Medicago truncatula: one gene and its partner. The protein of the gene in region 1 interacts with the protein of each later gene in a pairwise test. Links are inferred from orthologs where the notes say so. Each region holds a gene or a part of one and is shown on either strand. Other genes may lie near its edges.

The links.
Region 2: the proteins of receptor-like protein kinase FERONIA (region 1) and rop guanine nucleotide exchange factor 1 interact in binary tests that used the Arabidopsis thaliana proteins (3 or more experiments, as listed by UniProt). The link is inferred for Medicago truncatula from reciprocal best matches to the Arabidopsis thaliana genes FER and ROPGEF1.

Annotation. Positions count from the first base shown.
Region 1 is NC_053048.1:34,220,389-34,224,316, reverse strand, and holds the start of receptor-like protein kinase FERONIA, read right to left. Parts: upstream 2,685-3,928; 5' UTR 2,206-2,684; coding exon 1-2,205. UniProt on the Arabidopsis thaliana protein: Receptor-like protein kinase that mediates the female control of male gamete delivery during fertilization, including growth cessation of compatible pollen tubes ensuring a reproductive isolation barriers, by regulating MLO7 subcellular polarization upon pollen tube perception in the female gametophyte synergids.
Region 2 is NC_053045.1:36,885,025-36,888,952, reverse strand, and holds the start of rop guanine nucleotide exchange factor 1, read left to right. Parts: upstream 1-1,147; 5' UTR 1,148-1,414; coding exon 1,415-1,673; intron 1,674-1,803; coding exon 1,804-1,920; intron 1,921-2,222; coding exon 2,223-2,743; intron 2,744-3,059; coding exon 3,060-3,410; intron 3,411-3,866; coding exon 3,867-3,928. UniProt on the Arabidopsis thaliana protein: Guanine-nucleotide exchange factor (GEF) that acts as an activator of Rop (Rho of plants) GTPases by promoting the exchange of GDP for GTP. Acts downstream of PRK2 in the control of polarized pollen tube growth by activating ARAC11/ROP1.

The DNA of each region.
Region 1 (3,928 bases):
CTCGAATAGAACCACACCAAATGAGTACACATCGGATTTGTCGGTCAGTTGTTGCCTCCTAAAGTATTCTGGATCCAAGTAACCAAAACTACCCTTTACCACGGTACTTACATGAGTATTATCCAATGTAGGACCTGTTTTAGACAATCCAAAATCAGAAACCTTGGCCACCCACTTCTCATCTAGTAAAATGTTTGTAGTCTTCACATCACGGTGGATGATGGTATATTTAGCACCGGTGTGAAGATAGTGTAGACCTCGAGCAGCTCCAATGCATATCTCAAGCCTTTGCTTCCATGGAAGTGGAGGTTTCTGAGTCTTGTATAGATGCTCCCTGAGTGTTCCATATGCCATATGATCATAGACAAGGATCATTTCGGTGTTCTCTTCACAGTATCCGATCAATGAAACAAGGTGTCGGTGACGAAGTTTGGAGAGCATTTCAATTTCAGTTTGGAATTCGTGCACACCCTGCTCAGAGAGTGGATTCCCACGTTTAATTGCAACTTTGGTTGACCCGCCATCAATTTCTCCTTTGTAAACCTTGCCAAATCCTCCCACACCAAGAATCAAAGATTCGTCAAAGTTGTTTGTAGCAGCCTTGATTTCAGCAAATGAGAAATGACGACAAAGGTTTGATGGAAGAGTGGAAGTGTAACTTCCGGTTGTGTTCGTCTTGGCAGAAGCTGCAGAGTGTGAATTACCGTAAAGGGAAAGGGGAAGCCAGCCAGACGGCCCTTCACTTGTACTAGAATCTTTTCCATTCCTACGGCGACGAGACGTGCCAAAAGCAAATAGCCCAATCAAAAGCAATAAAGCAACTCCTCCACCAATACCTCCAGCAATGATTCCTGTATGACTCTTGGATTTACTAGATTTCCTAGCCAATGAAGGATCAATTAAGTCTTGCACCTGAGGAGGAGGAGGGTTTGTCCCTGCCAGATTACCTTTACTATCACTGATTTTGAATATTTCTACTCCATTCAAGATTGCGTCATAGTAATTGGACTTGGAAGCTGTATTTGGATGCAGTGCAAGCCACAGGTCCTGCTGCGGTGGCCCATTGGGAGCAAATACAACATAATCTTTATGCACCGGAACCCCATTTGAATGTGGAAGGTCAAAACTATCTGCCCAGGCAATAACATCAGCCCCGTCCTGAGCAGTTTGATTACCGAGGAATATATCGAATACCCTTTGATTAACCTTAGTTATAGTTGTCGTGCCCTCACAAAAATGAAGTCTCACAAGATAGGAAAACCCAGAATCAATTGAGAAAATCCAAGTCAAGTTCCAATTCAAGCTGATATTGGGATTCGGACCCATCGATCTGGCCGTCACGTAAACATCGGACGGAGCAATATAAGATGGTGTTCCCGGAGGATACTCAAGCTTCACTTCTGGATCAGCAGTCTCGGTAACTCCAAATGCAGCCCCATAAATGTAACGCACATCATCGGTCCATGACCTAAACATGCCGGTATCTTTGGAAGGTGAAATATCATTCCCACCCACGTTTAACCTATAAACATTCTCAAGTGCAGTGCTGTTGTCAATGGTGAAGGTAGTACCCGTACCAACAATCATGGTGGTTCCATCAGTAGAAGTATAAATATCAGGCATGGAAACAACCTCAATCCCATTTACAAATGCATAGGCTTTAGATGCATTGGCAGATGGAGTAAAAGTCACATTCAAGGTTCCTTCATCAACATGAATGCAATATTCCTTCACAATGTAATCGTAATTCAAACCCAAAGCAGTCTCAGAAACACTGAAATTCCTAAGCACGGTGTATGATTGCGCAGTCACACCAAACCGTGCATCGGATGCATTAAGCCCACCATAAGAAGCCGAATAAAAGTACAACCGTAGGAACTTCCAACCGGAAGCCACCGGAAAACTATAGGTATACGGCGATTGAAAAACACGCGCAGTCATAAACGGAATCTGCGGAACTGCAGGATCTTGAGTTGCAGCCTGTGATGTAGTGGATTTTACAGCTGATGAACCAAATTTTGAACCATTATCAGTGGTCCATTCACGGCCATCAGGATCAGTACTAACAGCAGGACCGCCACAATTCAGCAGGATTTTATCTGTTGGCTTAAAATCTGCTGCTAGAACAAGCTCAATAGCTAACACTAAGAACAAAAACAGTGGAACACAAACAAAGTATTTGTTCATGTTCTTCATAATGACCATGAAACACAACAAGTCCAAAACCACAAAATAAACAAAACCCTTGTTTTGTTTTTTGTTTCTAGCTTATTACAATTACAATCTAAACAAACCCAGAATTGTAAAACAAAGAAAGAGGTTAAATTTGATAGAAAGATCTGATTTTTAGAACACCCAGATCGGGAAAGTAAATTGGAAAGAGTTTCCAAAATCAGCAAGGGAAAATGATGAGGTGGATTTAGAGTTAAGAGGAGATTGTTTGAAGAAAGAAAGGTGTAGAAGATGGTGTGAATGAAGGGAAAGTGTAGAAGAAAGAGAAGGGGTTTTACCTTATGCCATGGGAAGAAAGATGAGCTGAAAAAGGAAGCAACTTGGTGAGTCAAAGAGGAGAGATCTTGTTGTGTATGTAGGGTTGGATTAGAAGAAGTTGATGGAGTCAGAAAGTTGCAGAAACAAATAGATAAATGCTGCGACCAAGTTGTAACTCACTAACTTGTAGTTGTAAGAGAAAATGCTAAATTCAATAACCACAAAAGGTTAAAAAAAATAAAAATAGATATACAAATAATGCAAATTAATTCACCCAACAAAAATTGACTTAAAAGGCATCATGCACTAGATCATTTTAAAAAAAATAGATTGACATCTAATAAAAATTCACCATTTACAAATTAAACTCACTAACCAGTAACATGATCAATTTCGTCGTAATGAGCATAGCTCAAGTGGACAATGATATTGCAATAAACAAGAGTTGATGTTCAAACTATAGGTTATCCACTTAACTATTTGATGAAAAAATAATCAATTTCAAACCTATAAGTGTAACTTATTTACTTCATGAGGGAAACCAAATTTACACTCAATCATGTAAATTATCCTACCTAATGCCCAGTGAAAATAATACTAATTTTGAAATTAGTTTTTATTTACTAAAATAAATTATAAGCTCATTTAATTTAAAGAGTACAATTCCTTTTAATTTTATTTATTTTAATTACCTAAAAAATATATTTATTTTAAAAACTAGTTTTCTTAATAGAATGACAAAGGAGAAGAAAAGGAAAAAAGAACGCTATGAATAATTATTCAAAAAAAAAAAAACGTTATGAATAATGTAATGTTTAGGACAACAAGTCTCAACATAATCTTCAACTCCAATAGAAAATTTGTCAAAAAATCACAGCTAACCTTAAAGAACACAAAAAAGAAGAAGGTTATTTTAGTAACATTATTTTTACTAGTTAAATTTAACTTTAAAGTATATCATTTTAGATATAGTTGGTAACATTTTCCAATTACATATAGTAGTTACTAATATTAATGGTAGGAGAGAATTGAACCGTATCCTAATTTCAAATCTTATTGCCTTTATTGTAAAAATAAGTTCTCTAACCACACCTTTATACGTGAATATTTTGTATCTATTGATCGTTAAATTATCTTATTAATAAAGCTCCACATGACTTAGTTTTAGTTAGTGAGGCTCCTTTTTGAAATTACCCGTAATAGTTCACACCTAAATTTTCTCCTTTTAAGCTTTTGAATGAATCTTTACATTTTTGTTTCTTGCTCCTTGACTTTTGCGGTATGCGTAAATGGAGGCGATACTTGTTCAATTTGACGATGATGTGATTATTTTTTTTTAAAAAATAAACGATATTTATTCATTTAAATTGATAGAGTACATCGATACAATACAAATACAAATTCGTCAAAAACAACAAGGATGAATATGTAACAAACT
Region 2 (3,928 bases), on another chromosome or scaffold:
AGATGTTGTATTCCCCTTGTTTTAGGCTAATAAATTAAATGTGGTATATGACATTTATTATCTATATTTTATTTTATTTTTTCCTTTTTTTAATACTTAAGATTATGTGTCTAATTTGCTAAAAAGATAATATTGTGTGTCTAATTAGGTGAATTTAATTGGTTGATTGTATAAAGTTTTTTACACCGTCAGTCTATTCTAATTAATCTCTTGAAATTTTGCAATTTTGACTTAAATTACTTTGACCATATTTTTCTACTAAAATACAAAGATAAATAATATCATATAAGACGTCGTTAGATTCGTCTCGATGAGTATTTTCAAAATATCATATTTTCATGATTTTTTCTAACATATTATTCAAAATATTTAAGCTCAAAATTATACATTGGCATACGTAATATGATCAACTGTGACATGTATTATGGGACGGATGAGGTACTTTTTTTTATAAATTTACAATGCCTCAGCCAGTGGATTTAGACCATCTCCATTGGAAGGGTCTTAACTATTAGATATCCCAATGAGGAGAATCTTTTTCAGAGTCTTATAAGACCCGGGGTCTTACTTAAGATACAAAAATTATTAGATACTACTGTTAAAAAATTATAAATGAGCGATGTATACACGTGAGATTCATTTAATAACCCAAAAATAAATGTCTCCATTGTGGATGCTTTAGAGCAATATCAAACAATCATTATTTAATACTATGGTCTAGTACCTCTCTTATTTGCTTTTATTTTTTGACAAGGTACCTCTCCTATTGTTTTTATAGCCTTTTTTGTTTATCATAAAAAGGAAAAGAAAAACTATATTAGCAATAATAAATAAATGAAAAAAAACAATAATTCATGAGATTGGGCACTCCTTAACATTCCTTTACACGGATACCAACGTACAGTTAACGGCCGTTTGGTTCCGTTTCCTAAACCAGTCGAACTCCCTCCATCTTGATATCGTATCAACGGTTTCGCGCTCAAAAATGGCCCACAGAGCCAAAACCCTCCAACAAAAACAATCCACGTCATCACACCGAAAAGTGGCCCCACTGATAAAGAGCGTGTCGGGTGCTTAACCTTCGGTTACGGAAAAGACAATCCCTGCAAACGGCGTCTCTTTGTTTACTTTTGCCTTCATCAAATCATCACCACCACTATACTCCACAGGTCCACACCTCAACAACAACACTGACAGAGTAAAATAAAGAATTTAACAAATACTTATAACAAAGACAAAGAAAAAGAATGTGAGTGGAATAAGAAGTGAAAGAGAACGTTGAAATTATCTTCTTCACTCGCTTTACTTACCCATTTATATCATTTTCTCTTATTATTATCTTCACTGTTACCATAGCTATTGAAATGTGCGTTACCAAACTAAGATCTGTGTAAAATTTTGCTGTTGTAAAGAAATGGGAAGTGTTTCGTCGGAAGATGTTTCAGAGCGATGTGGAAGTTACAGTCCGAGTGCTGACATCAGCGAATCGGAAAGTTCTAGCAGCTTCTACGGCCGACGTTTCGACGCGGAAGGAGCTTCCAGCTCGGCAAATCTCTCGCCACGTCAGCTCGCCGCTCATTTCAACTTGCCGGCGACGGCGCAGGTTATGCTTCCGGTCATCGGTGGGAAAGATGTTGCTGTTTGGGATCACAAACGTGACTTGGATTTGACCGGTAGAGTGCTCATTCATGTTATTCTCTTTCGTACAATTGTTGTTGCTTTATGTTTTCTATTCATGAAAAATGTATGAGATTCTGAGATTGAAATTGTGAATTGTGTTAACGGTGTTTTTGTATTTTGCAGAAGTTGAAATGATGAAGGAACGTTTTGCAAAGTTGCTTTTAGGAGAAGATATGTCCGGTGGTGGAAAAGGGGTTTGCACTGCACTTGCAATCTCTAATGCCATCACAAATCTCTCCGGTTAGTTTGTTTTTTTTTCGCGTTTTGCATGTTAGTAACTATGAATTACGGACACGCAGACTGACATGTCGACGACACTGATAATAATAATTTGAAGTAATGAGTAATTCTATGTAATCAGATGTGTCGGTGTTGTATCAGTGACACAACACGTCTCAGACACACATCTTCGTTCAGAATTGTCGGTGCTTTAGAGGTTAATAAAGAAATGCATTTTTGTATGTATGATATGTGTTTTTTTTTTTTTTTTTTTTTTTTTTTTTTTTTTTGTGCATGACTTTGAATTGAAATTGTAATTGCAGCGACTGTGTTTGGTGAATTATGGAGGTTGGAGCCACTAGCACCACAGAAAAAAGCAATGTGGCGAAGGGAAATGGAATGGCTACTTTGCGTGAGTGATTCAATAGTCGAGTTGGTGCCTTCTGTGCAGCAATTTCCAGGTGGTGGAACCTATGAAGTGATGGCGACGCGGCCTCGCTCTGATTTGTACATCAATCTTCCTGCTTTGAAGAAGCTTGATGGAATGTTGCTTAGTATGTTGGATGGATTTTGTGATACTCAGTTTTGGTATGTTGATAGAGGGATTGTGTTGGGTGATTCTAAGGATTGTGATGATTATGGTAGACCTTCTGTTAGGCAAGAAGAGAAATGGTGGCTTCCTTCTCCTAAGCTTCCGCCGAATGGGTTATGTGAGGATGATAGGAAAAGGTTGCAGCAGTGTAGGGATTGTACGAACCAGATACTTAAGGCTGCCATGGCGATTAATAGTTCTGTTCTCGCTGAAATGGAAATTCCTGCTGCTTATGTAGAATCCTTGCCAAGGGTAATAATACTTTGCTTTGCATATAGGAAATAAACTGTGTTCATGGTTAATTTTGGTTTGGTACTCGGTTTATATTTTGTAAAATATGATTATATCATGCTACAATGGTCCATACTAGACAGACATCACTTCTTTTATGCATGTTTGAGTTGCAAGTACTTCTAATTAGTGCTGAAATCAGTTTTATCCATGGTTCAAAACTTCAATAAGCTGAAGTGGAATTCAAAAATGGTTTAGTATTTGGTAGAATGTTTTGAATTTTTTTCGCTAAAATTGGATGAAAACTCAAAATGCCTTTTTGGTTTTACCAATGCAGAATGGCAAAGCTTGTCTTGGGGATATAATATACCGGTACATAACTGCTGGTCAGTTTTCCTCTGAATGTCTTCTGGATTGCTTGGATTTATCATCTGAGCACCACACACAAGATATAGCTAATAGAATTGAGGCTGCTATACATGTATGGAGGTTGAAAGACTATAAGAAACTTAAAAAATCGGGGAAAGCCAGACGGTCTTGGGGTGGAAAGGTAAAGAGCCTTGTCGCTGATGGTGAGAAGAACCACTTTCTTGTCCAACGGGCAGAGACACTACTGCAAAGCTTGAAACGCCGATTTCCCGGGCTTCCTCAAACAGCGCTAGACATGGCCAAGATACAGTATAATAAGGTACATTTTCTCCCTCTTAAAGTTGGGATAAAACTCATAATTCGTTCTATTGATCTGCATCATACATTTCACTCATAATTGCTAGTAGATTGTGTTGAAGTAATATGCAATATATTAGGTGCATCTGATCGGGAAATTATTTCTAGTTTGTTCCAATTAGCATTCAAAAGTTTCAGCAGAAGATATAATCCTGGCATCGGTACATAGATATCATTTTCTAAGTTTCTTGGTTCCCTTATGCCTGTATTTTGTGAGAATAAAAAGAATTTGCTGAGGTCAAGTGCAGTATAAATAGCATTTTCAGTTTCATCATCCATATTGACGATTGATCATTGTATGTCTATGTGATAAGTTTGTGCATGGCTTCTAGTCTGTATGGTTACAGAGGTTGGGCATTGGGACAAGGGAGCTTAAAATCAATGAATAAACTTATTTGGAACGTTGTTTTCCTTGCAGGATGTAGGGCAGTCTATTCTTGAGAGTTATTCCAGGGTGATGGAGAGCTTGGCCTTTAACAT